Linked DNA regions of Notamacropus eugenii. The protein of the gene in region 2 interacts with the protein of the main gene of each other region in a pairwise test. Links are inferred from orthologs where the notes say so. Each region holds a gene or a part of one and is shown on either strand. Other genes may lie near its edges. The genes, in order: STAM2, ABI2, CCDC102B and WIPF1.

Region 1 (7,586 bases), on a different chromosome or scaffold from region 2:
TGTTTTTTTGCTTTCTTACTCCATTACCATGGGAACTTCACAGTCTGTAACAGGAGCTTACAACCTTTGTATATGTATGTATGGATGCGTGTGTGTGTGTGTATGTGTGTAATGGGTCCCTTTGGCAATCCATTAAAGCCTATGGACTCATCAGAAGCTTTTGCAATGGAGAGGAAGAGGGGGGAGGTGAGAGGGAAAGAATGAACCTAACTCTCATCACATTTGACTTAAGGAGGGAATAACATGCACACTCAATTTTGTATGAAAAATCTATCTTACACTACAGGAAAGTAGGGGGGAAGGGGATAAGCAGGAGGTAGGTGAGATGATAGAAGGGAGGAAAAATGGAAGGAGGGAGTAATTAGAAGTAAACGCTTTTGAGGAGGGATAGGGCCAAAAGAGATAAAAAATAAACAGGAGGCAGGATAGAATGGAGGGAAATATAGTTAGTCTTTCACAATATGACTGTTATAGAAGTGTTTTGCATAACTACACATGGATAACCTATATTGAATTGCTTGCCTTCTCCGTGGGGATGGGTGGGGAGGGAGGGAGAGAAGCTGCAACAGTTTTAAAAATGAATGTTAAAGTTTTTACATGCAACTGGGAAATAAGATATTCAGGCAATGGGGTATAGAAATCTATCTTGTCCTACAAGAAAATAGAGGAGATGGGGATAAAAGAAGGGAGGGGTGTGATAGAAAGGAGGGCAGATTGGGGGGCTAATTGAAATGTATGCTGTCTTGCAGTGGGTGGAGGGAAGAGATGGGGAGAAAATTTGGAACTCAAAAAATCTTGTGGAAGTGTCTGGTGAAAACTAAAAATAGATGAGTTAATTTTAAAAAATTAAAAAACATTCACTATTTCCTTCAGTTATTTAAAAACATCATTCTAAGAGGGGATCTAGAGGTTTCACTGAACTATCAAAGAGTACTTAACATAAAAAATGTTAAGAATCTCTGCTATTAGCCCATTCTACTCATGGTCTTTGGAGGTTGTCCTCCAATTCAATCTTTAGTATGTGTGAAGTAGTTTTGGAAAAATGAAATGTGCCCTGTGCCAACCTAAGGGTACAGTTATTGATATGTATAGTAAGGTACACCAGGCAAGAGTTGAATGTGGAACAGGTAGGCATCTGAGAATGACAAAAGTTATATAAAAATAGCTATGTAATAACAATAGCTATATGTCAATAGCACCTATCTCCTAGTATTGTTGAGAGGATCAGATGAGATATTTGTAGACCACATGGCATGGTGCCTAGCACACAGAGGGTGCTTAATAAATCCTTCCTTCCTTTGAAATTTTTATAGTTCCAGAAAGGTTCTACCTGATGCCTTCTCAAATTGTGGAGGTGATCCTGGGTTCCTAGAGGCCATGCCATGACAGCCCGTATGATTTAGTTATTTTTTCTTTTGTTCATTAAAAAGGCCATTCCCTGACTACTTCTTAAAGAGGCCTATTCACTCAATGGGTGTTACCTCTCTCTAAATGAGCACCTGAAAAGGCAAGCCTAAAAAGGCCAAGGTCTCCCATTATATCCTGGGTCATCTCCAGTCATCCTGATGAATATTTGATCACTGGATCCAGATGGCTCAGGAAGAGAAGTGAGACTGGTGACCTTACATAGCCCTCCTTCACTCAAAGCAAAGTCAAGTGCAAGTTATGTCATCACTTCTCTGATGTCATGATCTTCTTCAAAAACGAAGGACAAACACAGATCTTAGGAGTGTATAGGATTTTAAGGTTTACAAATATTAGAATTTGTGCAGAACTAGGGTGGTTAGTATCAGAGGTAAACCAGTGTATCGATAATACATTTTTGCTTATTGTTAACGTAATTTTGCTTCGTAATGAGAAGATCTTTCCCATCCATTAATAGGCCCATGTGACCTGCTTAAGTCACATGGAAGCCTCAGTCACATGAGTCAAGTCACATGGAACAGGAAGGGGTAAAGTGGAAAGAGTGGGAAAGGAAGAGGCAGAGCTAGAGTAGAGCTAAGAGAAAATTTGGTCAGAGCAGTCAGAGCCAGGAAGGATGGAGGTAAGCAGGCACCTGGCTAGTGTGAGTGAGAGAGCTTGTTCATGATTTGTTTAAAGGAACTAGTTTGTGGGAAACCTAGCAGGGGGGAGGCTTGGGGATGGTATTGTCCTCTGCATTGTTATTGTGTGTAGATTTTTCTTACTATGATGAATTGGACTTTCTGGTGGTCTAAATAAATGTTTTGGTTCTGTCTTCCATGCGGAGATTCTGTTGTATTTTGTGATTCAGAATTGTGCTGGATATTCATGGCCACTGTAGGTGCTGTGAATATCCCATTGGTGCTATAATCAGAAAAAATTTCACTTTAGCTAGCTCCCCATCTTCCAAATGTATGCTGCACCATTTTTTCCCGTTTCCTCCTTAGTGGTCATGATTTTTCCTTAGTCTGCTCTATCTCTCATTCAAGAGTGGGCAAGGTCCTTTGAATTCAATGGGAGAGCCTACTGGCTTCTGAGGAAAACATACTTCACTTCCCTGAGTTTCTTCTTACCAATCTGACTGCTTCCTCTTAGTTTCCTTTGCTGGATCTTTATCCAGATCATGGCCACTAACTGCGGATATTACCCAGGTCTCTGTCCTGGGTCATTTCCTTCCTTTATACTATTTCTCTTGCAAATCTAATCAGCTTCCATGGATTCAAATATTATCTCTACATAGATGATTCTCTCTCTTTCTTCAGACCTAACCTTTCTAACCTCTGTTCTTACATTTCTTGATTGGCCATTGAACATCTTGAACTGGAGGTCCCACAGCCATCTTAGAGTCGACATGTCCCAAAGGAACCCATTCTCTTCTTTTCCCAAACCTTCCCACATTTTTCTCTTTACTGTCAAGGGTACCACCATTCTCACTACAAGGTGAGAAGGTGTCATTTTCAACTCCTCATTCTCCATCCAGACTGTCACCAACCCCTGCTGATTCTAGCTTCTTCTACATGCCCTCTTCCCTTTTCCCTCACTTCACTGCCACAGCTAGATTATGGCAATAACCTTCTGGGTGGTCTCCCTGCCTAAGTCTAGGGATCTTCCTCAAGCGCAGGTCTCAGCAGACCCCTAACAACCCCGAGGTTCACTATGACCTCCTGGATCAAACGTAAAATGCTGCTGCTCCTGACACAGTTCTCCATCTCCCACATGTCCCTGGTGGTTCCTCGGGCCCCTCCCTCCTCCTTTCTGTCCTTTTTCCTTCAAGTCTCAGCTAAAATCCCACCTTTTATAAGAAGTCTTCCCCGGTGTTCCTTAATACCAACGTCTTCTTTCAGTGATTCCGATTGATCCTGCATCTAGCTTGTTTGTACGTAACTGTGCATGTGGTCTCCCCCAGTATTCCGTGTCTCCCCCAAAAGCTCCTTTGCTTTTCTCTGCATGCCCAGTGCCCGCGTGGCTTCATAAGAAAGCTTTAATCATGAATTCATTGGTCAGCGGCCTCCGACGGTCCCATCCCGGCCGCTGAAAGCGGAGGCAGCTCCAGGGCTTGGGGCCCCATCACCTTCGCTGCCCCTCGAGGTCACCTTCCCAGTGTCTAGACTCGCCCTGCAACATGCCTGCTGGAGCGCCTTTCTCTTTACGGACTGCCACCGAAATCCCCTGCTCGGCGTTTGTTCCTTCTTCTCCCTTTAAATACCAGAACAATCAGCACTCCCCCTCAAAACCTGCCGCAGCCGGCGGAACCTCCCCGCTCAGGGCGTGCGGAGCGCCCAGACAAACAGTCCTGGACTACATTTCCCACAAGCCTTCTCGGCAAGTCCTGGAAGATACACCTCTAGCCTGGAGAAGTTCGATCCCAAACCAGCCGGGTACACCTACCTATCGCTTTTCTCTCGACCCTGCAAATTAAGTGGTATTCCATTATTTCACGGGGGAAGAACCGGAGACTTCAAAATATTAACATATCACACAGTGAGTCAAATGTTAACACCATGATTTGAACCTAGGTCTCATTAGTCCACAGCTCTTCCCACTACATCCATCACGCCGGGAAAACCACGACTGGAGATCACCCCCATTTCCAGAGAACCCAGGGCCTACGGAGGAGGCTGAGTAATAATGAAATGCTGGGCTGTGTTGTTTTATGCGCTTAAGGACTGCTGCTTCCCTGGAAGGTTGCCGGGAAGGCGCAGGACCCTTGTGGAAAAGCCTGGGCACGGGCGCCCCCTGCTGCCACCCATCGGCCTTTGTGCCGGACTCTAGCCAACCTGACGCTCAGCTTCCAGGCTCCTGTCACAACTTCCGGTCCTCGAAGGTCCCTATTCCGGAAGGGGTCCTCGAGATCGGAAGGTGGTTGGAGCTAACGCCTGAAGGCCGCGTGACACTGGAGTTCAGGTAGTTGCCCTCCTTTGGGCCTGCTTAGGGAAAAGGAAGCGGAGAAGAACGCTGACAGCCTCTCTGAGTATAGCCAAGGGAAGGCATAGCTCAGGAGGCTCGGGAGGAGGTCTCGGCCCCTTGGACTCAGGCACGAGCAGGGGCAGCTGCATTTGCGGAAGTGCTGAGGCTGGGCCGGAGGACCGTCCAGGAAGCGGCGGCCGCTGGGTCGAGGAGAGGGGTTAGGAATTGTCGCCGCCGCCACTGCCGCCCTTATCGCGCCTCACCTGGAGCGGACCGGGTTGCGGCAAGATGCCTTTGTTTACGCCTAATCCTTTTGAGCAGGATGTTGGTGAGTTGCCGGGCCAGGCCGTGGGCCACAAGGGCTGTTCCCCCGGAGACGCGGCCGGGGTGAGCAGGGGCGGCGGCGGCGTCTCTTTGGGCCGCTTCTTGGCTGCCCTTCCTCTCCCTGGGGGTGGGGCACTATCCTAGACAACCCCTGGGGGGCCAGCCTGGCCCCCTCGGGCGTGGAGTGGAAGCTCCTCTGCTGCCTTTCCCTGTGCCCTGACCCGGGTCCACAGCAGCGAGAACCACGTTGTCTCTAGAATATCGTGGAGAGGCGACGAAGGAGCAGACCCCTGACCGTCCCAGGGTAGGGGGTCCGTCGGGTCTGGAGACCTTCAGTCTTCTCCGGAGTGTGGGTTTTAATAGAATGCATCTGGGGGGTGGGGGGGGGAACTGGAGCTAGACTGTTCTTACATATTCGTGGAACAGCCAAAAAAAACATGAAGTATTTATCTGGACCTTGAGGAATTCCTGACACGAGACACTTGCTCTCCCAGTCCCCCGATGACTGGGATGCTCTCTCCTCATCTCTGCCCCGGCTTCCTTCAAACCTCTCCTGTAACATCTCGCATTCAGGATCTCCTCAGTGTACGTGTCTTTGGTATCCGAAATTCATCCTCTGTACTGGATCTCGTTCATACGAAGTTTGCACGTCGTCTCTCGAAGGCAGAGCTTGATTTGTTGTTCTTTACTTTCTTTGTGTCCCTGCCGCTTATCACAGTGGCATGTAGTAGGAGCTTAATAAATGCTGGTTGATTGGATGACTAAAAACTACATAATAGAATATCCCCCAAAGTGACTGAAAGCATGCCTGAGCCGCGTAGAATTTCATAATTATGTATTTGTTTTAGTAATTAAGATTTTCTTCTTTGAAAACCAAATAATTGTTTATAGCTCGTCAGAGTCGTGAACGTTTACGCTGCTTGTGAGTTTATTTTGCGGCTCTTTCAAGTTATCTGTTCTCAGCCATTGCAACAATCCTGTGACATAGGTAGGATGTTGCAAATGAGTAAGAGGGGTGTAGAGGTTCAGTGACTCATCCGGTGTCATCCAGCTGGTTTGTGGTTGCAACAGATTTCCTGACCTCAATCAGCCCCTCTTATTAATTAGTTATTAATTAATAATTAAGCCCGCCTTACGGGTGTAATGAAAGGAAAGCCAGATTTAGTCAGAGGACCCCAAATATGGAGTCTGGGGCTTACTACTTTGTGACTTTGGGCAAGTCACTCTTTCTTTCTAGTTCTCTGGGAAAGTTCCTTATTCTTTCTGAGCTTTACTTTCTTCATCTGTAAAGCCGGAGGTGGCCTCTTCCAGTTCTGATCTCTGATCCTACGTGCAAAGCACTGTGACAGCACTTGTGACAGCAGAAATGGAAAAGCAGCACATCCCCTGCCCTCAAGGAACTTTCAAGGGAAATAGGTACACAAAGTGAATCAGAATAGAATGTGGTAAAGCAGGTTGAGATACTAAGAAATCTGAGAAAGATCACTTCATAGAAATGGGGACACCTTTGGTGGACTTTAAAGACTGAGAATAATTTCTCAGGTGGAATTGTGGTAGGAGGAATTTCTGAACAAGGGGAAGAAAATCTACAATATTTGAAAAATGAGAGGAGAGGGCAGGACGAGAGAGATGAGTAATTTGTCTGCCCTTAGGATCTATGAAGTGAAGTAGAATGAGATGGTATCAGAGAATCTAGGTTCTAGTCTCACCTCTGTGCCATCTGTGTGCCCATGGGCATGTCATTAACATCTCTGGGCCTTTTTTTTTCCTTATCAATAAAAGTAAGGAATTGGATTAGAAGGCTTCTGAGTTCAGTAATGTTACAAGACTGGAAAGTTAGAGGAGAATCAGATTTCAAGGAGGGGAAGAGTTGTGAAATATTACACAATCCATAGGCTTTCTTGGTGACTTAGTAGAGAATTGTTTCAGTAGAATGTTGGGGATTGAAGTTTGAGGTAAGAGGTTGTAAAGAAGCTCAGGCAATGAGGGACCTGGGAGATAGTGATTGCTATAGAGCTTAGTTTGAGGAAATGAGATCTAGCAAAAGGTTTCTTGTTAGTTTTTTCAGTCACCAATTTACTAATGCTTTCTGTGTGCCAGACGCTACTAAAAGCTGGGAATACAAAAACAAGAGTCTGTCCTCAAGGAGCTTACAGCCCTTTGGGGGGAGACTGCACACAAAAAAGAACCTGAAAAGCAGGGAGAGAGAGTGGGAAAGTACCCAACTTTGGGGTCATGTTGGAAAAGTCAGAGAAGTCCTTGAGAAATGCAACCTGGTGAGAAATGAGATGATCTGAGCTGAGCTACTTCCTTAAATGGGGGTCAGGAGTTCATGGCCCCACCCTCCAATCAGAGAAGCTGACATGTATCAGGTAGCATACAAGACTCAGGCCCAGGTCAGGGCTGCTAGGTTGTGGCCCTCTAGGTCCTTAAGTGTGGCCCTTTAATAAAAGAATTTGTTCTGTAAAACTTGGACTCAGTCAAAAGGCCACACCCAAGGACCATATGTGGCTTCAAGGCCACAGGTTCCCCACCCCTATCACAAATGCTTTAATTCAAAAAAAGGGGGAAATAATTACTAATATTGCATATTTCTTATCTAAAGCAATTTGAAAATGTTAAAATTATAATGTAAGCTGGTATTATCTAGGAATGGAGATGAGGATATGAAGTTGATTTCCATGGATGGCATCAGTCTAAAAGGAAGGAGGCAGTGTTATCTTCTTAGAGCCCTGTGTGAAATCTTCTGTACCTGGAGAGTAGGATCAGTGTTTAGTAAGATAAATACATGAAGTTCTGTGTGTCCTTACAAGCATAGAAAAAGATTTGTTTTTGTGGTTATCTTGTCCTCTACATTTTTATTAGTACCTAACTGATTTTTATACTCTACTTCA
Region 2 (7,023 bases):
GACTTCATTTATTAGAAAACAGTCTCATTTTGTACCATTTAGTTTTTAGAATAACAAATAGTCTCTTCACAAGGATCCTCATCATAAGATAAAGGTTACAATGGTTTCATAAAGAAAGAAATATCCAATAAAAGATATGTCCACCTTCTGAAGACACAAGTCTTTTCCAGCTCATGTTCAGCTAAGGCAGGTGAAACCATCTTTTCAGCTTCTCTCAAGTCCTCATTCCTATGAATGGTTCTCTCTAGACTCACTCCTCATAAGGTTCTCATGAAATGTTTGCTAACATTATAATTGTTACTCTTTAGGGGCATAACAAATGGCTCCTATTTTACCTGTTCATCTGATACAATTACATAGGGACTCATCTGTAGATATGAACAAATTTCAGTTTCCTTCAGCAACTTAAACAGTACTGTTAATTAGTGGAGGAACTATGTGTAGCATAATTATATTTCCTTTTCTCTTAATGATAACTACTAGACCTTTTTGGAATTTGCAGTTGTTATCGCTTTCTTTTCTTTCCTTTTTTTCTTCTTTTCGGCAACAGAGGCATAACGGTGGATGTTTGGATTCTCTAACAATCTGGGAGTTAAAAGCTCTTTTCTGGACACCAGAGATCTCCAGCTGTTACAAATTAGGTTGATGAACCATTCCCTTAGCTCAACTTAGGGGGCTAATTACTAGTCATCATTTGAAATTAGATAGGCTGAGTGTAATAGGATACAGACTGAAAGATCGGATCAAACTTAAGTGTTTCTTATCTTTTTTGATCCACTGTTTCGATCTAAATAAGTTTAGTCTCATATAAAATGTCCTTGATGTGATTTATTTTTAATTTACTTGTTTGTTTACGTAAGCATTATATTACCCATGAAAGTCTATTGTTCACGTTAGCGAAATTTTTTTTCTTTTAATTAACAGTAGTTGCCCTATCACAAAAGTCTGAATTCTATATTATACTAGATAAACTTGTAATTACTTAAACATAAAAATAGTCCAAAAATTTCACTATTCCTTTCCTGAATCACAGATTTAGAGTTTGTAGGGGATTTAGTGACTATTGAATACAATGCCTAGATTTTACAGATAAGGAAACTGAGACCAGCAGGTAAAATGACTTAAGTCACACAAATAGTAAATGGTAGAGCTGAAATTTGAGGCCAGGATCTCTGACTCCAAATCTAGTACTTTTTCTCACTGAACCAATTTCTTTTTTTTTTTTTTTAACCTTTTGTGGATTACAACGAACTGAAATTTTATCTTCAGAAAATCCTGGAATGAATGTTTTCCATGAACCATGGAATGTGATTAAGAAAGGGAGGAGTAAAGGTGTCCAAGGTAAATCAGAACCTTCTCATTTGAATTCCTAGAGTCTGATTCAGATTAACTTTAATATGTTATTCATATCACATGCTATATGATATATATAACATATGGTAAACTGGGAGCATCCCCTCCCAAATCTCATGGACAGTCATCTAGAAGAGCCTACCTAAGTATCCACTCAAAACCATAGCTTATAACCTCCCACTTTTTCTTCTGAGGACATAATTAGTTCCCAGCAAAGGCACTTAATGAAATTACATTAAAAAGGAGTATGCTTCCTCCATAAGCCTGGGATACACTCTCTCCCAAATATACTCACTATCCATGGTAAGAATTGATATACGTATGGCACACATGTCAAGATGCATATATAAAGGGAATGTATGTGGCCAAGGAAAGGCTTCATACTGGCACTGCACAGCAGAAGGGCTTTACTGCTCCTTGCTGGTCTCACATTTCTGCGGTCTCTGCCAAGTGTGTTGTCTCTGACTGGTATTTGAGTGTGGCATTTAGTCTCTGTCAGATGTCTACTCCTGCTAGCCTTGTGTGGCCTCCACTTTTCTGATGGTTACTGCCAGGCTTGTGGCCGCTGGGCAAGAAGTTGGAGCCCTTCCCTAGCTTTCCCTAAAGTCCTCAGCTGAGGTGCTACCTCAGAAAGAGATACAGCTTTTTTTGAAAGGCTAACTCCCTAACACATTCAGTCATCAGACGGGAAACATCAAAACCAAAACAAAGCCTTCAGTGGTTTTTCTTCCCATTTGAAGAAAACTCCTGTTTCTCTAAGCCTTGGTTGGAATATATACTTCCTCTCCACAAGAAGATTCCATGCTCCAGGTTAAATTCTTTCGAACAGAGAGCCAGAGCCATTCTTGCTAGCTAGTGTATGTTTTAAGTTTTATCTCTGTTTTAGAAAACTGTATTTTCTAGTTATCAGGGGTCTAAATCTTTGTTCTCTGTCAGAGGCCTTGCTATGACTTAGGATTAGAAAGTCCACGTCATTCTGTTTAGTTTCTGATTGCTAAATTTATCGAGTCAGCATACATTAGATGCTTCTTTTCCAGCAAACTAACAAAAGTTCACCTATGGCTGCCCAGTTCTCCAAGTCTCTCATGCAAAGCACTGGGAATAGAGAAAGGCACTGCAATAAAACTATCCCCAGACAGAAAGGTCATTGCCTATATCACGCTTAGTTTCATGTATGCTGTGTGTGGAAGGAAGAAAACAAGTTTGATCGCTAGCTCTGCTGCCATGTGCTATGTGCGTGACCTTGGACGTGGAACTAACTCTCAGGCCTCATTTTCCCCATTTGTAAAATGAAGCTAGAACAGATAGCTTCCAAGGTTCCCTTCTTTGATCCTGACTGTGTACATGGCCACCAATGAACTTCCCAAGAATGGTACACTTCTCAAATCAGGATTTGTTTCAGAAAAAACTTTATGGTGAAAAGGTATTAAAGTTGGTGGTTGCTTTTGGGAAGCATAATCGCATGAGGATTTAAACAGTCAGCCAGAGAAAAGGAAGTTATGATTGGGGACAACTGTAAGATCTTGGCAGATTAAAAGCAAGAATTGTACCAATACAAAGAGGAAGAAAAGAGACTTGATCTAAACTGTAAACTTGCATGTTAGGGATTTAGCCTCCTCAGCTTTGGTTCTCCATGGTGCCAAGAGGATACAGACTTAATTAGGTGAGGGCAAAGAGTCAGGATTTGGGAAGGAGGGAAAGAAAATGTAATAGATACATTGTGACCAATTCTATTTTTTGCCCTTTTAGAATCAGTTCAAGTGGTCGTTCCTGGAGCATGTCAGGCGGATTCTACGGCCACTCTCACCAACGGCAGCTCGTCTGCCCTGCGTTTTGGGGGCAGTTCTGGACTTTCCGAGGGACTTCTGCCCAGCCGCTCTTGGAGGAAGGAAGTTCTGAACCAGCAAAGTTGTTTCTGCAAGTTTTCAGCGCTAACTCCCTGAGGAGAACCGGCGGGAGGCGGCAGAGAAGTGACGGACCCCCAGGCAAGCTCAGGGCAAGGGGGGCGACGACTCACCGAGCGCCGAGCCGGGAACGTGGACAGCGGGCAGCGGAGAGGAGAAGGCTCCGGAGGGCCGGAGATCCGGCCGTGAGAGAAGCCAAGACGCGGAGGGAGGAAAGGGGACACTCGGGGAGTCTTCTCTAACCGGAACCGGGGCGGCTGTCCGGCCGGGGGAGCCAGACCCGAGCTGCGTGCTGCCTGCCTCAGTCTCCTCATCCGTAAACAGGGACAGCAGCCCCTTCCTCCCAGGGTAGTGGGGAAGGCCTGGGCAGGGCTCCTGGCACGGGATCTGGATCCCGAGGATTTGGGGGGTTGGGGTGGGCCCGATCTGGGCAAGTCACCGTTCTGGTGGGCCTCAGTCTTCACCTCGATAAAGTGGACGGGGTGATCCTCGGCTTGGGAAGCGCCAGTGGGAAGTGGGCCCTGAGGCTTCCACGGGAAGGCCCGGGGCGCCGGGGGAGGGGGTGGAGAGCCTGCGCTCGGCTTTCGGAGGCTGGGGGGGTCGGGGTGCGGGGGGGGCGGGGAGGGAGCGCTCCCCTCCCTCGACCTTCGGCACCCGCCAAGGGTTAACCCTACGACCCGAAGACCCGAGCGCATCCCAGGCTCCCGCCTCCTTCCGTTGCTAGGAGACGCCGGAAGTGGAGGGAAGGGGGCGGGGGCTGGGAATCAGGCTTTCAGGCCCTGGGGTCGGGAGCCGGGAGCGGAGGGCTCCGGAGCGCGCGCCTCCGCTCTCTCGCGCCCCCGCTCCCTCGCGCCCCCGTGACCGGCCTGAGGCCGCGCGCGCGCCCCGCCCCCGGCCCCTCCCCCTCCCTCGTTCGCTCCCCCTCCCCGCCTCGCGCGCAGCAGGGGGGAGATTCTCGCTTTCCGCGAGTGGCCGCCGCCGCCGGCGCTGCTCCTCCTCTCCGGTCTTGGGTTTCCCTGGTGCCGCCGCCGCCGCCGCCGCAGTTCGGTGTGAGGAGGAGGAGGAGGAGGAGGATGTGAAGATGGCGGAGCTGCAGATGCTGCTGGAGGAGGAAATCCCGGGGGGCCGCCGGGCCCTGTTCGATAGTTATACTAACCTGGAGCGAGTGGCCGACTACTGCGAGAACAACTACATCCAGGTGGTCGGCATCCCCCGGGCCGCGGCGGGCTGGGGGAGGGGCGCTCGGGGGGCGGGGGGGCACCCGCAGTGCTCCCGGGGGCCGAAGCTGCCCGGCGGGAGCGAGCTCGGGGGCCTTAGGGATCCCTGCCCCTCCCCCCCGTCCATTCTCCTCCCCCGCTCCTTCCCCCTCAGTTCTCCTCTCTGCTCCCCCTCCCCCACCCTCCCCTTCCCCTCCCCCCTCCGCCCCCTAGTCTTGGGCTGTGACGGCGGCTGTGGGGCTCTGCCTCCCGGGGCTTGTCCTGGGTGGGGGGGGTGGCTCGGGGGTCAGGAGGCTGAGGCTCGGCAGCGCTTCCCGAGCCGCGCCTGACCCCCCGCCCGGCGCGTGGGATGGCGGGGGAGGCTGAGCGGCGTGGGCAGCGCTCCCCCCCATCTCCTCGGTGGGTGGGGGCTTCTTTCTCGTTCTCATTCGTGTCAGTGGCTCTGGGAGCCCCGCGCCCTGCTCCCCTGCCTGCGCTGTAGGTCGGCGCTGGGGGTGGAGGTCGCTGCTCCGCGGGGTGCCTGACCCCGTTCGCTGGGCTCGGGGGTTCTCCGAAGGGCTTTCTTCTCTTCTCTTCTCTTTTCTTCTTAGGACTTGCAAGGAAACGATGGGAAAACACTAGTTTCTTGATGAAAGTTGTCATTTTTTTTCTCAAAAGGGAAAAGGGGAAGCCGCACTATAAAGAATCTTCTCTTCAGTTAAATTAAATGATGATTTTTTCCCTTTGGGAAGGAACACTGTACATACTTGACACACATTATTATGAAAGGAAGGAACCTCATGGCATCATTTCTTTCAGTTTTCCAACTGGGGACTGACTGGATGGTGGGAGACAGGGAATCCGGATACTTCTGTGATAATGCTTGGGTTTATGTGAAAGCACAGATACCTTTTAAAAAGCCCTTTCCCCCCCTTAAGGAATGGTTTGTTTGGAAAAATTTGTTAAATATAGAATTCCTGAACTGAATATCCTTCGCTTACCGTATAGTTTGTTATAGGTCTTCTGTTTTTCTTTATGTTCTCCAGGGATAAAGGTGGTAGTGGAAAATGTTTCCTCCCTGTGTTTTTTCCATTCCCTTTGTTCGCATTTGCCCTTAACCTTCAGGTACAATATAAAACTAATAAAGAGAAGTTCAGGGTAAAATTTATAAGTTCACCGATTTTTGGATGTTATATGTGATTGTAAGGATAGGAAAGAATTGTAGATGTGAACTTTAACTAGTCTATTAGCATATGTAATGACTTTTCACAGTGTTTTATAGGGAACATTTCTACTCAACTGAATTAGATTTAAACCAAAAGATTTTTCTCGTGATCAGAGATAGTTGGAAGAAAAGTCTTGTCAGAATTGGAAACATTACTGGGAAACACTACTATGTAGTCTTTTTTTTCAATAGGAAAGAATTGTGGGACAGAAGAAATTTCAACTGATAGTGGTTATGAAGAGATTTGGTGGATTGGAGGGATAGCCTTAGGTAGACAGGACTATTGGTACCCACTTTGGAGGAGTTGGTAACATGCTATTGAAAATAAGGAAATCATCAGCATTTTCCGAGGGATCACTGAATAGATGGATAGGTTGCAGGATTGGTAAAAAAGGAAAAAATGTTCTTGTGATTAGGAGTTTATTATAAAGTGAAAATAAAGGTTGAGAAGAGGGAAAGAAGAGAATGACTTTTTTTCCTTTTGGGTCAGGCCTCCAACCTCCACTTCTCTTTATTGAAGATCTCTAGAGTAAAAAGTTTCATTTCTTTATGAATTACAGTTGTCGGTGAAAGGTAAACTTATATGGAATAATAAAGCTTAGAGGTTAAATGAGTCATTGATGCTCCAAGAAATCTTCCTTCTCTCTTCATTCTGTTGCCAGTGAAAGCTGTACGGTAAATTTTGTACTCGTCTAGCTAAAGACATTGAAAAAAGACCAGTGTAGCTACAAAATATTAAATTGTTATCCTGACACTGGGACACCAGAAATAGTTGGTAGATTTGTGATCAAATTTCAAACAAAGGCTCTACACATACATTCATATTAAACATATGTTCACATCTACTCACAGTAGTAGATGCTGCTGGCTGAATGGGGACCCAGCTAGCTGGGTAACTCACCTCCTTCTTTCCTGTCTGCCTCCCCCTCTCCTTCCTTCTACAATTCTACAATTGTGTTTGTCCTTCGTTGCTGAAGAAGACCATGCCATCAGAGAAATGATGACATGACTTGCACTTCACTTTGTTTTGAGGGAGGGCTGTGCAGGTCATCAGCCTCACTTCTCCTCAAGAGCCATCTGAATCCAGTGACCTGATATTCCTCAGGATGACTGGAGATGACCCAGGATGCACTGGGAGACCTTGGGCTGTTTAGGCCAAGGTCTTTGCCGGCACTCACTTAGGGGGAGGCAACGCTCATTCATTGAATAGGTCTGTTTAAGAAGTAGCCAGGGCATGGCCCCTTTAATGAGGTCAAGAAAAAGAAAGACATCAGCCTGGGTGGGAAACAGCAGCCGTTACTATTGATAATCACTCTCAAGCTAGGAGGGTCCAGAGGAGGTTTTC
Region 3 (8,012 bases), on a different chromosome or scaffold from region 2:
GTGGGTGATATAATAAGGGGGTTAAATATTTAAGAGAAGACATTAATGTTGATTTGAATTGCTTCATAAAGGAGTGAATAGGGGAAGAAGAGGAGAGAATGCTAGTATATGCAAGATGGCCTTGGACAGAATTGAGGGGTCCAGGGATTAGAGGTCATGGTGAAAATGAAAATTAGGGTTATATAAGGAAAGGCACAGGGAGGGCTGAAAAATCAATAGGTTATGATAAACTAAGGGGATTTTAGAATTCCTGAACATTGAGGTGGTACATTTGTGTGTGATGGCAAGATCAGTGGCATGACTATCTTTGTGAGTGGCTGAGAGAAAAAACTCATGAGAATGAGCAGGTTGATAACTGAATTGTGAGGTATCTAAGGGAGAATGAATGTGCATGTTGAAATTCTCCAGTATGAGTGCTGAAGATGAGAAAGAGAGAATAATTACAAGCCACTTATAGAACTCATTAAAGAAAGTAGGTGAGCAACATTTAGGTTTATAGATAACAGCTACTAGGATTTTGATTGGATAGTAGATATGAATAGCATGAACCTCAAAGGTAGAGAAGTTCCTGAGTGAAGAAGGAAGGGAGAGAACCTGCAATGACAATAGGGAGCAAGGAGAATTCCAACTCCACTGCTTCAACCATGAACCAGAGAGAATGAATGAAAGTACAGCCAATACTGGAAAGAATAGTCAGGGAGGCTGTGTCATCAGGGGAAAGTCAAGTTTCAGTAAGAACTAGTAGAGAAAAATATGTATTTAGTCTAATAAGGGAAACTGTGCATTAAATTTTTTTTCATCAACTATTTTCTAGTATGGATCTACTAGATCTAATAGTCAACATAAAAATATCTTAGAACAATTCCTCAATTAAATAATTCATTAAAGGTTGCAACAAAAGATTTTGAAAAGAATTTCAAATTATTAACAGCTAATTGAAAGAATTTAACAAATCCTTACCTCTCAGATTTATGGATAAGAGCAGAATTTGTGACCAAACAAGAAATAGAGAACATTATGGTTTATAAAATGGATAATTTTGATTACACTAAATTAAAAAGGTTTTGTACAAACAAAAACTAATGCAGATGATTAAAAGGAAATCAGAAAATGGAAAAAATTATATATAACAAGTTTCTCTGATAAAGATCTCATTTCTCAAATGTAAAGAGAACTTAGCCAAATTTATAAGAATACAAGTCATTCACAAATTGATAAATGGTCAAAGAATATGATGAGGTGACTTTTAGTTGAAGAAATCAAAGCTATCTATGTCAAGTGAAAAGATATTCTAAATCACTATTGATTAGAGAAATGCAAATTAAAACAACTCTGAGGTACCACCTTACACCTATCAGATTGGCTAATATGATAGAGAAGGAAAATTATAAATGTTTGAGATGATATGGGAAAATGAGGGCAGTAATTAGTGTTAGTGGAGTTGTAAATTGATCCAACCATTTTTGGAGAGCAATTTGAAACTATTTGCAAATTGCTATTAAACTGCCCATATTCTTTGATCCATCAATACTACAACTAGATCTGTACCTAAAAGAGACTTTTATGAAAAGTAAAAGGACCTATGTGTATAAAAATATTGTTGCTCTTTTTATAGTGACAAAGAATTGGAAATTGAGGTGAAACCCATCAATTGGGGAATGACTGAATAAGTTGTAGTATACGGTTGCACTAGGAATACTATTGTCATATAAGAAATAATGAGCAGGATCCTTTAAAAAAACCTGGAAAGATTTTCATGCACAATGAAGTGAGCAAAATCAGGAGAACATTGTACACAGCAACAGTAATATTGTGTCAATAGTTGTAAAAGATTTAGCTACTCTCAGCATTACAAAGATCCAAGAAAATTCTGCTAGACTTGTGATAGAAAATGCTATCCACCTCCAAAGAAAGAACCGATGGAGTCTGAATGTGGATTGAAACGTACTATATCAAAGCATATTTAAATTGTGTTTTCTTTTTTTTTTTTGAGTTTATGTTTTCTTTTACAACATGACTAATATGAGAATATGTTTTTCATGACTGGACATGTATAACCCATATCAAATTGTTTGTTGTCTCAGACGGATTGGAGGGGAGGAAGGAAGAATGTGAAAGCATCTGGAACTCAAAATTTTAAAAAATGTCAAAAATGATTTCTACATGCATTGGAAAAAATAAAATATTAAACAAATAAAAAAGACTAACAAATCAGTAATAATGATAGGAATAAAAATCAAAGAATTTTAAGAATTAAACATAGCTGGCAAACTGGAGAAGATTACAAAAGATAGAGGGTCTGAAAAAATACAGGCACACTAAAGTAAAATTGTTAATTGATGTTATCTTTCTGGAATCCTATCAGGAACTATACTAAAAAGTGATTAATGTGTCCATATGTGCTTTGGCCCATATATGCTATGACAGTATAAAAAGCATATACCAGGGAAATTGATGTATGAAGATAGATCATTTATATACCAAAAAAAAAAAAAAAAAAAAAAAAAGCAAACCACAGCAGCATTCTTTTAGAAAGGAAGAATTAGCAAAAAAGTGGGAGCTCATAGATTGTGCTTCGCACAAAAATCACTCAATAAATGCTTGGAGAGGTGGAGGAACATGAATGTGCAGTGTTTCATATAATGCTAAACTTTGTTGATATATTGGTTTCTTTGGTTAAACTACTTTTCTTTGCTTTTTTAAGTGTTTATTATAATATGTGGTTTACTGGGTGGGGAGAGTGAGTAATATATTTAGAAATAGATTTGAAGCTAAAGACAAAAGTCATCAATAGAAATAACTTTTTAAAAAATTAGGTGTGAAATGTTTTGTGGGCTTAATGATTCTATGATTCATTTTGAATTCATTCATTCATTCATTACACATCTTTTCAATACCTACAATTGCAGTGAGTATTTATGTAGCATTTCACAATTTACAATATATGCTTTCCTTACAAAAACTTCATTGAACAGAAGGTTCTGTAAATATAATTAACTCCATTTTATAGATCAGGAAACTGAGCCTTAGGTGAATATATGATTTGCTCAAGGCTATGGAACAATGTAATGGTGGAATGGGATTTAAAATTAGATCACCTAAATCTGGTCCTGTTTTGAGAGAGAGAGAGAGAGAGAGAGAGAGAGAGAGAGAGAGAGAGAGAGAGAGAGAGAGAGAGAGAGAGAGACAGAGAGAGAGAGAGAGAGAAAGAGGGAGGGAGAGAGGAAGGGAGGGAGAGAGAGAGCGCACGCAAAGACAGAAACAGAGACAGAGACAGAATGAGAATGATATAGACAGATCGACTTCAAGGTCATATGATTAGCAAAATGGAGGAGCAGACGCAATCTCTGATTCTCATAATCTTTCTAACCTTTCAGAAATAGGAATTATGAGTAAGAGAGAACACCAAGAACTCAAATGAGGTAAAAATTCAGTGAATTAAATCTAAGAAGTTCTAGACGCTAACAAATTTCAGTTAGCATATGTTCCCCACCCACCCTCTAGTAGCAGAGTTGTACAAGTCAACCAATAGACTTGAAGCAGAGCTCAATTATATACCCTCCCCACATGTCCATGAGTGGTTTAAAAGAGAAATAAAAATTGTAAAAGAATTTATGTCCTATACAGCAGAGATAATTAACAAAATAGAAAAATTTGAATTCACAGTGACACATATCAACACAGAAACTAGAGAGGATAACTGATTGGGAATGTAACTACATGATAGTGAAGGACAATCTAGAAGACAAGCAAAAAGCAATAATATTAAAGTAATGCTATTATTGAAATGAAAAGAAAGTATGATCTCCATATAAGCAAAACATTGATCTGGAAGATAGGGTGCATAGAGCCAAACAAAAATTGACAGAGCTCTCAGAAGAACTTGAGTCAAAAAACCTGTTCTGCTGCTAGAAAAAAAAGCAGAAGGGAAAGATGATAAGGATTTGAAAAGCAAAATAGGTGTTTCTTTTTGTTCTTAGAGCAATTGTGAGTTGTCTTTGTTGTGGAGTCTGTGATACATCCAGTAGGATCTAATTCTGGCTTTCCATACAATGGGAATCTTGTAGCTGTTTCTTTCTCAACTTTTCATATGACCAGGACAGTATAATTAGTAGCCTATTGGGTACATATCTGATTTGAATTACTGCCACCAGAGGATGCAGATAACATCACATTATTTAATAACAAAGATTAATCCTCTAAACCAAAGGGAGAGAAAATACAAATAATTGAAGGAAAATTTTTTTTTCCTGTTATATGATGTTTTTGTCATTTAGTTTTCCTCTGGACAATTTGAAATGTTAGAGTTAACCTTTGAAATATTTTTTTTACTTGCATCCCTAAAGGGATAAAACATCACCACTCCCTCAGTGGATCTTGACAGCTGAGTCATGTCAATGGAAAGTCACTCAGATAAACCACTGAGATTCAGAGCCAAAATTCTCTCACTGGGGGGTCCTTGACTTGGAAACTCAGAATTCTTATCAGTCTGACTGAGATCAAGTGTTCTGACAGAGATCTTGAACTGTGATTTATTTACCAGAACATTTCGTTAAATTTACTGCGTTTCTTTTACAAAACAAGTTACAGTGATATACTGAATACTGCAGATATTTTTCTATTGTTAATTATAACAAAGGATGTTTATGCCTTGCCTTTGCAGATTTGTTCATTAGTAGTTTTTCTTTTGGCATTTTTGTTGCATTTAAAATAGTGACTGGCTGAATATAATGACATGAAAATAAGTAGAAAACTTGCTAATGAGACACTATGTTTAGATTTCCTGATATGTTCATAGTATATAGTTTGAAAAGGTAGGGAAGGAAAGCTTAGGAAACTCACGTTTAGTTTGGGGACAGTAGAAAAAGAATTTATTTTGGTTAGCTAAGTTGAAATCCAAAGAGTCTGTTGTGGTATTGGCTTTGATAAAGCTTCACAACCAATGGGAATCCTTTCTGAGTTAGTGTGGAGTGGCCTTAATGCTGGATATAATCCTGTTGGCCAAGACCCCAGAGCTGTACAGATGAGGAAAGGATGCAGGAAATTCAGTTGTTTACACATGTGTCTGTAACACTGAGAAGCAAGAGCAGCCCAGCAAGTCCAGAGGGTAAGAGTGTTTAATAACCTTGTGGTTTTTCTATTTAATTTTTATACTTTCCTGCTGGGGTAGAGCATGAGTTGTTCTCTGAGCAAGGGAAAAAGTAGTTGGTTATAAGACACAGAGCAAGACTACTGTGGGTCTGTGAAACGGAAGAAACAGACGTATTTGGAGTTTCTTGCTAAGTTGGATGTATTTTTCCCATTCTTTTTTCATTTTTCCACTATTAGTACTGTTTATCTTGACAGCATATATATTTCCTGTGTTTAAAATATTTGTATAGTTATCATAACCAGGTAAGGTTTTAGCATGCAAATATAGATAGTAACTGAAGATATTACTTTACAGACTTTGGTAGTAAAAGATGAAAATGAAATACCAGAAATGTTGGCTTTATTTTATGCTATAAGAAGTAAAAAAGGTAACATTGCTTATCAAAACTATAGATTTATGCTTCATGCACTTGAAGTCCTTTGGAAATGTCTAGAGCTTTTGTTGAATTCCTGTAATTGTTGACAGGAAGTCCTGTGATCAAAAGAGATATGTTACATTTCAGAGCAACCACAAGTGATCTGAATTTCCTTATGGAAAATACAGGATTCCATTGTAGAAGAGAGAGGGACAGAGAATAAAGGTTAATACATAGACATACTAAGGGAATGGAAAATATAACTACACAGAGAAGTAATGCTATGTCTCGACAACAACAACAAAAATTCTTTCTTTGACAACTTGAGAGATTTACTTTTTCTGTTACTTTAAAAAAAAGATCATAATTTTGATTACCTGTGAATGTGAAGTAGGTTTGGCAAATAGAAAGGAAATTCCTAAAATCATGATTAGCTACTGGATAAATGTAAGTAACAGATGGCTTTCAAAAACTTAATCCTTCTATTTTATCTCTCTAGCCACTCTCACACCAATTCTGATTTTTTCACCTCTCTAAATCAGCTCACATATCAGATTTTATAATCTTTCTTTGGGGACAGGGCATTTCAATTTCTAGTTAAATTTTGACGAACATATCAGAATTCAAAGGATTAGATCAAAGGATTGTTGATCCCAGGATAGTTGCTTTAGAACATAGTAGAAAAAAGTTTTTTTTTTTTTTTTCACGTAAGTAAATCACCATACTTTTACAGCCAACAGAAGATCTTAGTTTGGAAAAAAATTATTCCTATACTATTATTCTTACCCATACATTTTCAATGACAACATTAAATTTAAGAGAATATCCTTTAATATAGTACCAATGCAGTTTTCCCATGCTTTTATATTGTTGATTAGAAAGTAAAAATATTTATTTTGAAAATCAGGGGAAGAATGTACACCATTCTCTTAAAATTGTTTATTTCCAAACATCTCTAGAGATTATCCTGCTGTGTAATAGCAAACCATTTCATTGATTATATTTTTACTTTCTCTATAAATATTGGTTGGATTCAGTCCTGAGATGAAGATGCTATTAAATATTCTTTATGATGTTTATATATTGTTTTTAGAGCCCCAAAAGACAATAGTGGCATTTCCCCCAATTATGTCATGCAAGCATGGATCTACTCTTTATACAAGAGCATGGGATTTTCCATGTAGATGTCACTTATGTCAATTGAATTCCACATTTAATTTTTCACTAGTTTCCAAAATAGGACAAAGATAGATATGGGTTTATATCCTGATTCCACTGGGGACAAACTATATCTTCTGTTACTCATTTAACTTCTTCTGAACAGTGGTGATTTTGTTTTTCATATTCACATTAGTTGCTTCTGTAATCTTTCAGTCTTTTCTCCCTTTCAATACCTTAAAATTTTTTTTTTTGTCATTCTGTACTCAAGAAATATGCATACTTTTACAGAGAACAATAAAAAAGAACTATATATGAAACTAAAACGTAATCATATTCGTTTCTCTGTGCCTTCTCTTTAAGGATTCATTGATATCCCCTCTTTTTTGGGGGGCAGGAGTGGTCAGGAGAGGAGAGATTCAAATTTTTCTCCACTTCCCAAAAACAACCTCTGCCTTTAACAAGTTAGTGTGGTCAAATAAAACAAATGTACCCATTGGTCATAGCTGAAAATTTATGTCACATTCTTATATCTCTAGTCCATAACCATTCCTTCAAGAGCTGGGAAGAATATTTCAACACTGGTCTTCTGAGGCTGTGGTTGGACATGACATTAACCCGGATTCTTATGTCTTTCAAAATTATCTTTCCTCCAGTGTTAGCCTCTTTATATCAATTATTTTCTTGGCTCTGTTTACTTCACTGTATTAGGAGAGGCATATCTTCCCAGATTTTTCTGAATCCATCCTTCTCATTATTTCTTATAGCCCAATAGTACTCCATTAATCCAGATACCATCATTTGTATGGCCATTTTCCATTGAATGGACAAATCATTTATTTTCAGTTCTTTGCTACAAAAAAGGGCTACTCTGAATATTTTTTTATATATGTGGATCCTGCAGCATGGTACAATGGTTCCAAATCAGAGGATCTGGGTTCAAATCTTACTGCTAGTATTTCCTTGGGCAAATCATTACACTTTTCTGGGTGTTAGTTCCCTCATCTATAAAATGAGGGAGTTGGATTAGATAGCTTCTGAATTTGCTTTCATATCTTGCTCTTTGATCCCTTTCTTTTATGTCTTTGGGATATATGCCTAGTAGTGAAATCATTCAGTCAAAGGTATACATAATTTAGTGGCTTTGTGGGTATAATTCCAAATTATTTTCTAAAATGGTCAGGGCAAAAAGCTGCCAAAAGTAGATTAGTCTGCTTGTTCTCTCATATCCTCCCTAATAATTTTCATTTTTCTTTTTTTGTCATTGCAGCCAAGAAGGTATAACCTCATAGTAATTTTAACTTGCATTCTTTTTACTATTTGTGATTTTTCCATATAGTTGATAGA
Region 4 (7,439 bases), on a different chromosome or scaffold from region 2:
GAATCCAATGAAGGCTCAAAATTAGAAGATTTGTGGGATCATATATTCTGGCCATTAATTATATAACTATAAAGATATGATTGTGTTTTTAATATAATACATGTGCTAGTTTATCAAAAACATTCATGTGTTGGTATAAACATATTATAAAATTGTTTTTATTGTTAATAAGTTACTATGTTGTTTTCCTAATATTGAGCCGTCATTGTATTCCTACTGTAAATCCAACTTGATTATAATGAATATTTAATATATTTTTGTTTCCTACTTTTTGTGTGTTTGTCCTTCATTGCCCAAGAAGACCATGCTATCAGAGAAATGATGACATGACTTGCACTTCACTGTGTTTTGAGTGAGGAAGGGCGGTGCAGGTCTCCAGCCTCACTTCTCCTCCAGAGCCATCTGAATCCAGTGACCAGATATTCATCAGGATGACTGGAGATGACCCAGGATGAGGCAGTTGGGGTTAAGTGACTTGCCCAAGGTCGTAGGTCTAAGATCCTGTAGTCCCTTATCAGTCATGAGGATTAGTGATGATAGTGAGCCATTTCAAAAAGGAGGCATCATGACTCATGTCTAAATCATCTAATAACATACAGTTGCTGTTCCTTGACCTGCTAATTCCCAACCTTGGATCATCTCCTCCTCTTATTATTTAATTTTTAGCATATTATTTAATATACATAATCATATTCATGGATGTAAAGGAGGTTGAGAATAGGCAATCAGATAAATAGGAGGATAACTAAGAGAAAAGAGTATCATCAGCACCCAGGAAAGAGAGAGTGTCCAGAAGGAGAAGGTGGTCGATCCTGTCAAATACCCCAGAAAGGTCAAGAAGGATGGGAACTGAAAAAAAAAGTCAATGAATTTAGTAATAAAGAGGCCACTGGTGATCTGAGAGAGAATAGTTTTGATCAAATGGTAAGAGTGGAAACTAGACTACAAGGGACTGAGAAGTGAGTGGGATGTGGGAAAGAGGAGGCAACAATTGTAGACAGCTGTTTATAGTAAGTTGACTGTGAGAGTAAAGCTATAGTATGATAGTTTGAGTGGAGGGTAGGGCATGTTTACATCTTTGATTCTTCTCCTTTAGCCCAAATAATCTAACATTCTTTCTCTAAAATACACGTGTTTAGTAAAATAAAGGTTAAACACTAATTTGTTAATGAAGAGGAATACTAGTACATGTATGAAACAACTGAGGAGCCATTGATGAAGAGCAGTAGAGAGAATGGGCCTCACAAGTATAAGGTGGGGACCCATACATGACTTGAAAGGAGGCAGAATAGACATCTCTAGCCTATTTCCCCTCCCCACCCCCACCCTTCTCCAAAGGAGATTTTCATTCCTGCCAGGAGAGAAAGCAGAAAGTTAGGCCACTATACTCTTCTCAGAGAAAGACTGTATGGGACCAGAAGTATATCTATTCAACTTCCTTAAATATTATTCACATAGGGGATACGTTCAGGTTCCATTTAACTTCTGTTCTCTTTGTCATTTGGGTAGAAAGAAGAACCTCAAGTTCTATAGCCAAGGCTTGACCCTTTTCCCACACAATACCATTGCATAATGAACACACATAGCAAATAACAAAAAAACTCATACATCCAAATCAGAAGCAAAACAAATCAAAGGAGAATATATACAAGACAATACAGAATGAAGGAGCTCTCCCCTTAGGAGCCAGATTACAGTTCAACCATCAAAATGTCCCAGATCTCCCCCAAAGGGAAATTCCCCAAAGTCTCGAGAGTAGCAAATTGAAAATAGGGACATGGAGACCACAAGCACCTCTCATATCTTCCCAGAGGCTTTTCCTTTTGCAACCTGGAGTAAGGTTGGCTTCTTCCATCTTCTCCATCTCCTCTCTCTCTCTCTCTCTCTCTCTCTCTCCCCGAAGTCAAATAGAAGCTCTAAAAAGACTCTCACTTGGAGAGTCCCCACAGGGGGACTGGAGAAGGCTGGAGTTCTCTTAACTCTCTCCAATTCTGCCCATCCTTCCCAAAGCGCAAGGTATTCATCTCCACCAATAATTGTGTTCCAAACATAGTAAATGTTTAGCATAAATTTATTGAATTCAATTCAGTTCAATTGATGTCTCAGTTTTTCACTCTAATTCCCATAATCTCCATTTTACTCTATCTCTATCTCCTATCTCAGGCCTCACATCATCTGCCTTCAAGATCCAGAGCTCTGAAATTCTCTTTTTAGGTGACAATCTGTCTATCTTTCTATACTTCCACCTCCGTTTCTTGACTCTCTTCTTTGCCTTCACCCTGAGGTCAATTATATCCTCCTATCACTACCCCCATTGTAGTTTCATCTCCCTAAAGTCCATTCCTATTCTAGGTCTAAGATGTCCCTTATCAGTCTTGACGATTAGTGATAATAGTGAGTCATTTCAAAAACGAGGCATCGTGACCCATGCTTAAATCATCTAATAACATAATTCTGTTGTTTCAACCTTGGATCACCTCATCACCTTATTTGCAGCTTCCCCTTTTATTTCTGATTATTACTTGAGAGCTGCTAAAGGAAACCTATTAATATGCATAATATTCATGCTATTGAATCTAACTGGGCCCTCACTACTGCATAATAATATTTAAATTTATTTCTGATGGACTGCCCAGTAAATTTCTCAAACTCCTAACCTTTACCCATCTTCTCTCTCAACAAATGACCTTGCCTTCCCCAGACTGAAGCTATCCTACATGAAATCTCTCATCTCTCCTTCACATGGAAAAATCTTTTTCTGTCTTCATTCATCCTTTTCTCTTTCCCTCCTGAGTGAAGGGGGTAGACTTCTTTCTTCACTGTCCAGGTTTACTCCACCTAAACTCTTGATCACATCCTTGTCTCTGCCATTACCTTGCAATTCTCTTTCATCTTTCATCTCTTTTTTCTCTTTTGATGCTAAACTTTTTTTCCAAGCACTTTTTCCACTTCCTTACCACCTGTGCATCTCTCAATAATCCCTTGAAATACAGCTTTCATCCCTACCTCACCAGGGAAACTACTCTCTGTGAACCCAAGAATGATATTCCAATTGACCTAAACCAAAACCTTTTATCAACTCTTGCTTAAAAAACAATTCTTAAGCATCTCCATTTTTTTTGCTTTCTTTTCCTTTGCCTTCCATTACAATGTACTTTCCTGGTTCTCCTCCTACCTTTCTGACTACTCCTCTGGCTTCTTCACTAGTTTTTTTCTTCATCCTATAATAGCCACTTCAGTGTGGTTATCCCCTAAGGTTCTATCTATGACTCCCTCCTCTTCTCTATCCTCCTTTTCAGTGCTAAATTTCTAGAAAGTGACCTTCATGATCTCACCTACTTCCTGGTTTCAAACATTCCCACTAAGATAATAATCAAATCTAAATCTCCAGCTCCAACATCTACCTTCAAGCATATTGCCATATTACCTGTATGACCTTCCTACACCTCATACTCAACATATCCAAAATGGAACTCAAGCTTCCCAGAGGAAAAAAAAACCCACAACAACTTATCCCTCCTCCTTATTTTTGTGTTTCTATTAATGATACCATTATCTTCTCAAGTCATCCAAGTTCATTCAAATCAACTATATTTCATTCTTCCCTTTCCCTCACCTCCCATATCCAATTGTCAAATGCTGTTCATTCTGCCCTCTCAAAATGTCTCATCTGTTCCCTTCTTTCTACTTCCCACATTACCATCTTAGTTCAGACTTTTATCACCTTTTGACTATACTATTTTATACACCTGAGCTACCTCATTCCAGTCTCACCCTTGTCCAATTAATCCTACACTGAGGTAGCAAAATAATCTTCCTAAGGCATAGGTCTGATTATGTTACTCCCTTTGCTCCAAAACATCTTATCATTTTCCACTGCTCAGGACTTAGAGTCAGGAGGTACCTTGTTTCAGATCCCAGCCATGGACTTACTGACTGTGGGACCCTTGGACAAGCCACATAACCCCTGTGAAAGTCAGTTTCCTTATTTGTAAAAGGATAATAATTTCTAATAATTCATTAGGACTATTATCAAATGCTACATCAAAACAAATTATTTTTCTCATTTTTTTCCACTTTGAAAGACATCTATATTTCTTTTTACTTTTTTATATATAATTAATTTATTTTTAGTTTTCAACATTCACTTCCATAAGATTTTGAGTTTTGAATTTTCTTCCCTATCCTTTCCCCCTCACCCCCGCCCCAAGATGGGGTGATATAAGCTCCACTTATACATTCATATTAAACATTTTCATATTAATCATGATACAAAGAAGAATGAGAACCAATGGAAGGAACTATGAGAAAGAAGAAACAAAATGAAACAACAAAAGAAAAGGAGAACAAATATTATGCTTTCATCTGTATTCAGACCCCCAAGTTCTTTCTCTGGATGTGGAGACATCTATATTTCTTTTGGATAAGTTTTTAAAAGATACAATTTAGTTTTTCAGAAAAAAAATTTTAGGACAACTCAGATTATGATTCAGTGTGCACAACTCTTCACCTAGACAAAGAGGCACATGGAGCTTTTACATTCCTGTTCCCCCAATCCATACCCAAATGAGCTGCTTCTGAAGAAGGCCCCTGCGGGATATTGATATAAGGAGATAAAGTTCAAGGCCCCTATCCTGCATTCAAAACTGGCTCTAACCCATCTTTCCGGATTTATTACGTCACACAACCCTTCATGCCTATCTCTATTCCAGTTAAAGTGAACTAATAGCTATTTCGAATCTCTTCCTAGCATCTCTCACCTCCACCACCCCACATTCCCTGTCAGAGGTAGAAGGAAATTTAAAGATCATACAGTTCATTCCTTCATTTTAGAAAAAAGGAAACTGAGACAGTGTCTCTCCACCCGTCATTGTTAAGTGACTTGCCCAAGGTGATGCAAGCAGAAAGTGATGGAACACAGATTCAAACTCAGATTTCCTGTCTCCAAATCCTGTGATATTTCAAACTATGACTCTTCTCTCTGGAAATCCTCTTCCTTCAACCCCCTTCGAGAACCTTTCCCTGTTCCCTCCTCTCTCCACCCAACTAAGATTCCAAGGTCCCCAGGTTCTTCACACCCTTCTGTTTTTCTTCTCTCTGTAAATCCTTTCATCACATTTTAACGTGGGGTCGTAGATTTAGAACTGGAAGGGACCTTGGAGATCAAATCCGACCGCCTCATTTACTGATGAGAAAACAGAGCAAAGAGAGGTTAAATGACTTCCCAGGGTCACACAGCTGGTACGTGAACCCAAGTCTGCCGGACTCCAAGCCCCAGTGCCCAGTCTCCTATGCCATAAATACTAGTTATGGGAATACATGTGCCATCCCCCTACGGGACCATACATTCCTGGAGGAGACGGACAGCGACGTCTTCGCCTTTTTAACCTCCGTGCCTCGCACACGGCAGGCGCTCAACAGTTTGTTGACTGAAGACAGGAAAGAAGCGGTCTCCAGCGTCCACAGTGGCAGCTGTAGCAGCGGCGGCAGCAGCGGCCTGCTAAGTCCACATGTGGCAGGGCCGGTAGAGGGGCGGGCAGGGGGGTGGGGGAGGTAATGTTTGGAGTGGGAGGGTTTACATCACCGCGAAGTTCCCGGATGGTCGTAGCCTCCGAGCGCAGAGAGCTTTTCCTGCCCGCCGGGGAGAAGTTTTCCAGAGAAAAATGCCCCGTGCGCTGCAGCTGCTGGGGAACAAGCGGGAGCCGCCGCCTGCAGCTGCGACCGCCGCCCTCATCCCGGGAGGGAGCCCGCGGGGAGGGTTCTAGGAGCGGAGCACACCCGGTAAGAGACGCGTTTTCTTCCTCGTCCTGGCTTATCTTCTCTCCCCCCGCCCCCGCCCCCACTTTCAGAACCAGGCTCCAGCTCAGAAGGTGGGGCGAGGTGGGGGATTAGGGGGAGTTGGATGAATATTTGTGCGCGCCTGTCAGCAAGCGGGGCTTTCGGGGTCGGGCTGAGCCCTCGCAGCCTGGAGGTTATGAGTGCAGCATCTGGCTAGGAGACCCTCTCTCTGGTCTGCAAGGCACATCTGCAGAAGTGAATGCCCTGCTCCTTCCCTCGGACTGGGAGGGGGATTTGGAAACACTACTTTGGGGATCAGTGGGAGGGGGGAGAAGAAGGAGATAGTGACGTGGGAAGTAAGGAGAAAAGAAAAAAAGAGAGAGATGTCGAAACAGTCCTTATTTACTCCAAGAGTGGGTTTCGTTGAATAACATCAGTCCCCTCCCAGGCCCTGCTCTCCCAGATGTGTTCCCAGCTCCTTCATCCAGCTTTCACAAAGTGGCTAACTTTTTCCTTTGGCTGCCGGCAAGGCGCTTTCTCGGATGGCCTCGCCTTCTTGATTCCTCCCCTCTGGCCGGGATGGGGCAGTCCGGGGACCGCAGGGCAAGAGGTACTTGGAGATCTTAGGAAGAAGGTGACTGTGGTGCTGCCCTTGCGCTCCGGGACAAAGCAAACTGACAACCCTTCCTGGGCTCCGCTTGACTATAGGGCGAGATTGCAAAAATCCAGTACTCGAGCTGCTCTGGGCGGAGGCATAACGAGTCCAGAGCTAATTTGCACACTACCTGCACCAAAAAGAGGAGAAAAGCTAAAAGAGACTTGTACAGCATCCCCATCAGCTTTTTTTAAAATGAAACAGTTACTTTCCGTTGTATAGTCCACTAACACATCACCTTCCTCAGTTCCTTCCTTAAATTGGACTCTTGCCTACTTGAATGTCTCCTCCAAACGTTCCCTCTTTGCATCTGCTGGTATCCGTGTATGCATGTGTGTGTGCATATGGTCACTGACCTTAAAATCACTGCCAATTCTACCCAGCACTTTTCAAAAGTATAGGATATACTCTTCCCAGACTTCTCTGCAATCATTTGTTTCTCCAGTTCCTTACTCTTTCTTTTGCTTTTTTCTAATAATATCTTCCAAAGATTTAAAGAAGTTAATTGTCAGTGCTCTCACCAGGAAAAGGAAACAAGCTGACCCAGGCAGGAATTCTGCCTGGTGGTCCAAATGCAGAACTGGCATTAGACTTGGAAACTTCTTAGTTTAACAAAGGGTGGGTCTGTTTGAAGGCAAGCCCTAGACAACTGGTGTTGGTCAGAGCAGGCTAGATCTGGGCACCCCTCTCTTGTTTCATTTTTGTCCCTCTTAGTCTTATACCCGAGAGGAAGAGGGAAATAGTGGATAGAGTGCTGGACTTGGCAGCAGGAAGACCTGTGTTCAAATCTTGCTTCTGGGACTTAGTAACTGTGCAATCATGGACCAGTCCTTTAACCTATCTGAGCCTCAGTCTCTTTATCTCTAAAATGGAGATAATCACGTCTGTTATTGTGAATCTCAGATAAATAATGGGTAAATAAAGGTGAAGGGTGGCTGAAGTGGTGACCAGTAGGATGTGAAAGGTGTGAAGAATGTCATTGTAGAAGTTCGAAAATGACCATTCT

What was found.
Region 1: the proteins of ABI2 (region 2) and STAM2 interact in binary tests that used the Homo sapiens proteins (3 or more experiments, as listed by UniProt). The link is inferred for Notamacropus eugenii from reciprocal best matches to the Homo sapiens genes ABI2 and STAM2.
Region 3: the proteins of ABI2 (region 2) and CCDC102B interact in binary tests that used the Homo sapiens proteins (3 or more experiments, as listed by UniProt). The link is inferred for Notamacropus eugenii from reciprocal best matches to the Homo sapiens genes ABI2 and CCDC102B.
Region 4: the proteins of ABI2 (region 2) and WIPF1 interact in binary tests that used the Homo sapiens proteins (3 or more experiments, as listed by UniProt). The link is inferred for Notamacropus eugenii from reciprocal best matches to the Homo sapiens genes ABI2 and WIPF1.

Annotation. Positions count from the first base shown.
Region 1 is NC_092876.1:209,401,280-209,408,865, reverse strand, and holds the start of STAM2 (signal transducing adapter molecule 2), read left to right. Parts: upstream 1-4,565; 5' UTR 4,566-4,656; coding exon 4,657-4,696; intron 4,697-4,889; exon of another isoform or gene 4,890-4,996; intron 4,997-5,090; exon of another isoform or gene 5,091-5,277; intron 5,278-7,586.
Region 2 is NC_092877.1:299,597,885-299,604,907, forward strand, and holds the start of ABI2 (abl interactor 2), read left to right. Parts: upstream 1-4,015; 5' UTR 4,016-4,338; coding exon 4,339-4,455; intron 4,456-7,023. UniProt on the Homo sapiens protein: Regulator of actin cytoskeleton dynamics underlying cell motility and adhesion. Functions as a component of the WAVE complex, which activates actin nucleating machinery Arp2/3 to drive lamellipodia formation.
Region 3 is NC_092875.1:218,775,602-218,783,613, reverse strand, and holds the start of CCDC102B (coiled-coil domain-containing protein 102B), read left to right. Parts: upstream 1-4,995; 5' UTR 4,996-5,107; intron 5,108-8,012. UniProt on the Homo sapiens protein: During interphase, forms fibers at the proximal ends of centrioles to maintain centrosome cohesion. During mitosis, dissociates from the centrosome following phosphorylation to allow centrosome separation. Contributes to CROCC/rootletin filament formation.
Region 4 is NC_092876.1:236,944,812-236,952,250, reverse strand, and holds the start of WIPF1 (WAS/WASL-interacting protein family member 1), read left to right. Parts: upstream 1-4,434; 5' UTR 4,435-5,781; intron 5,782-7,439. UniProt on the Homo sapiens protein: Plays a role in the reorganization of the actin cytoskeleton. Contributes with NCK1 and GRB2 in the recruitment and activation of WASL.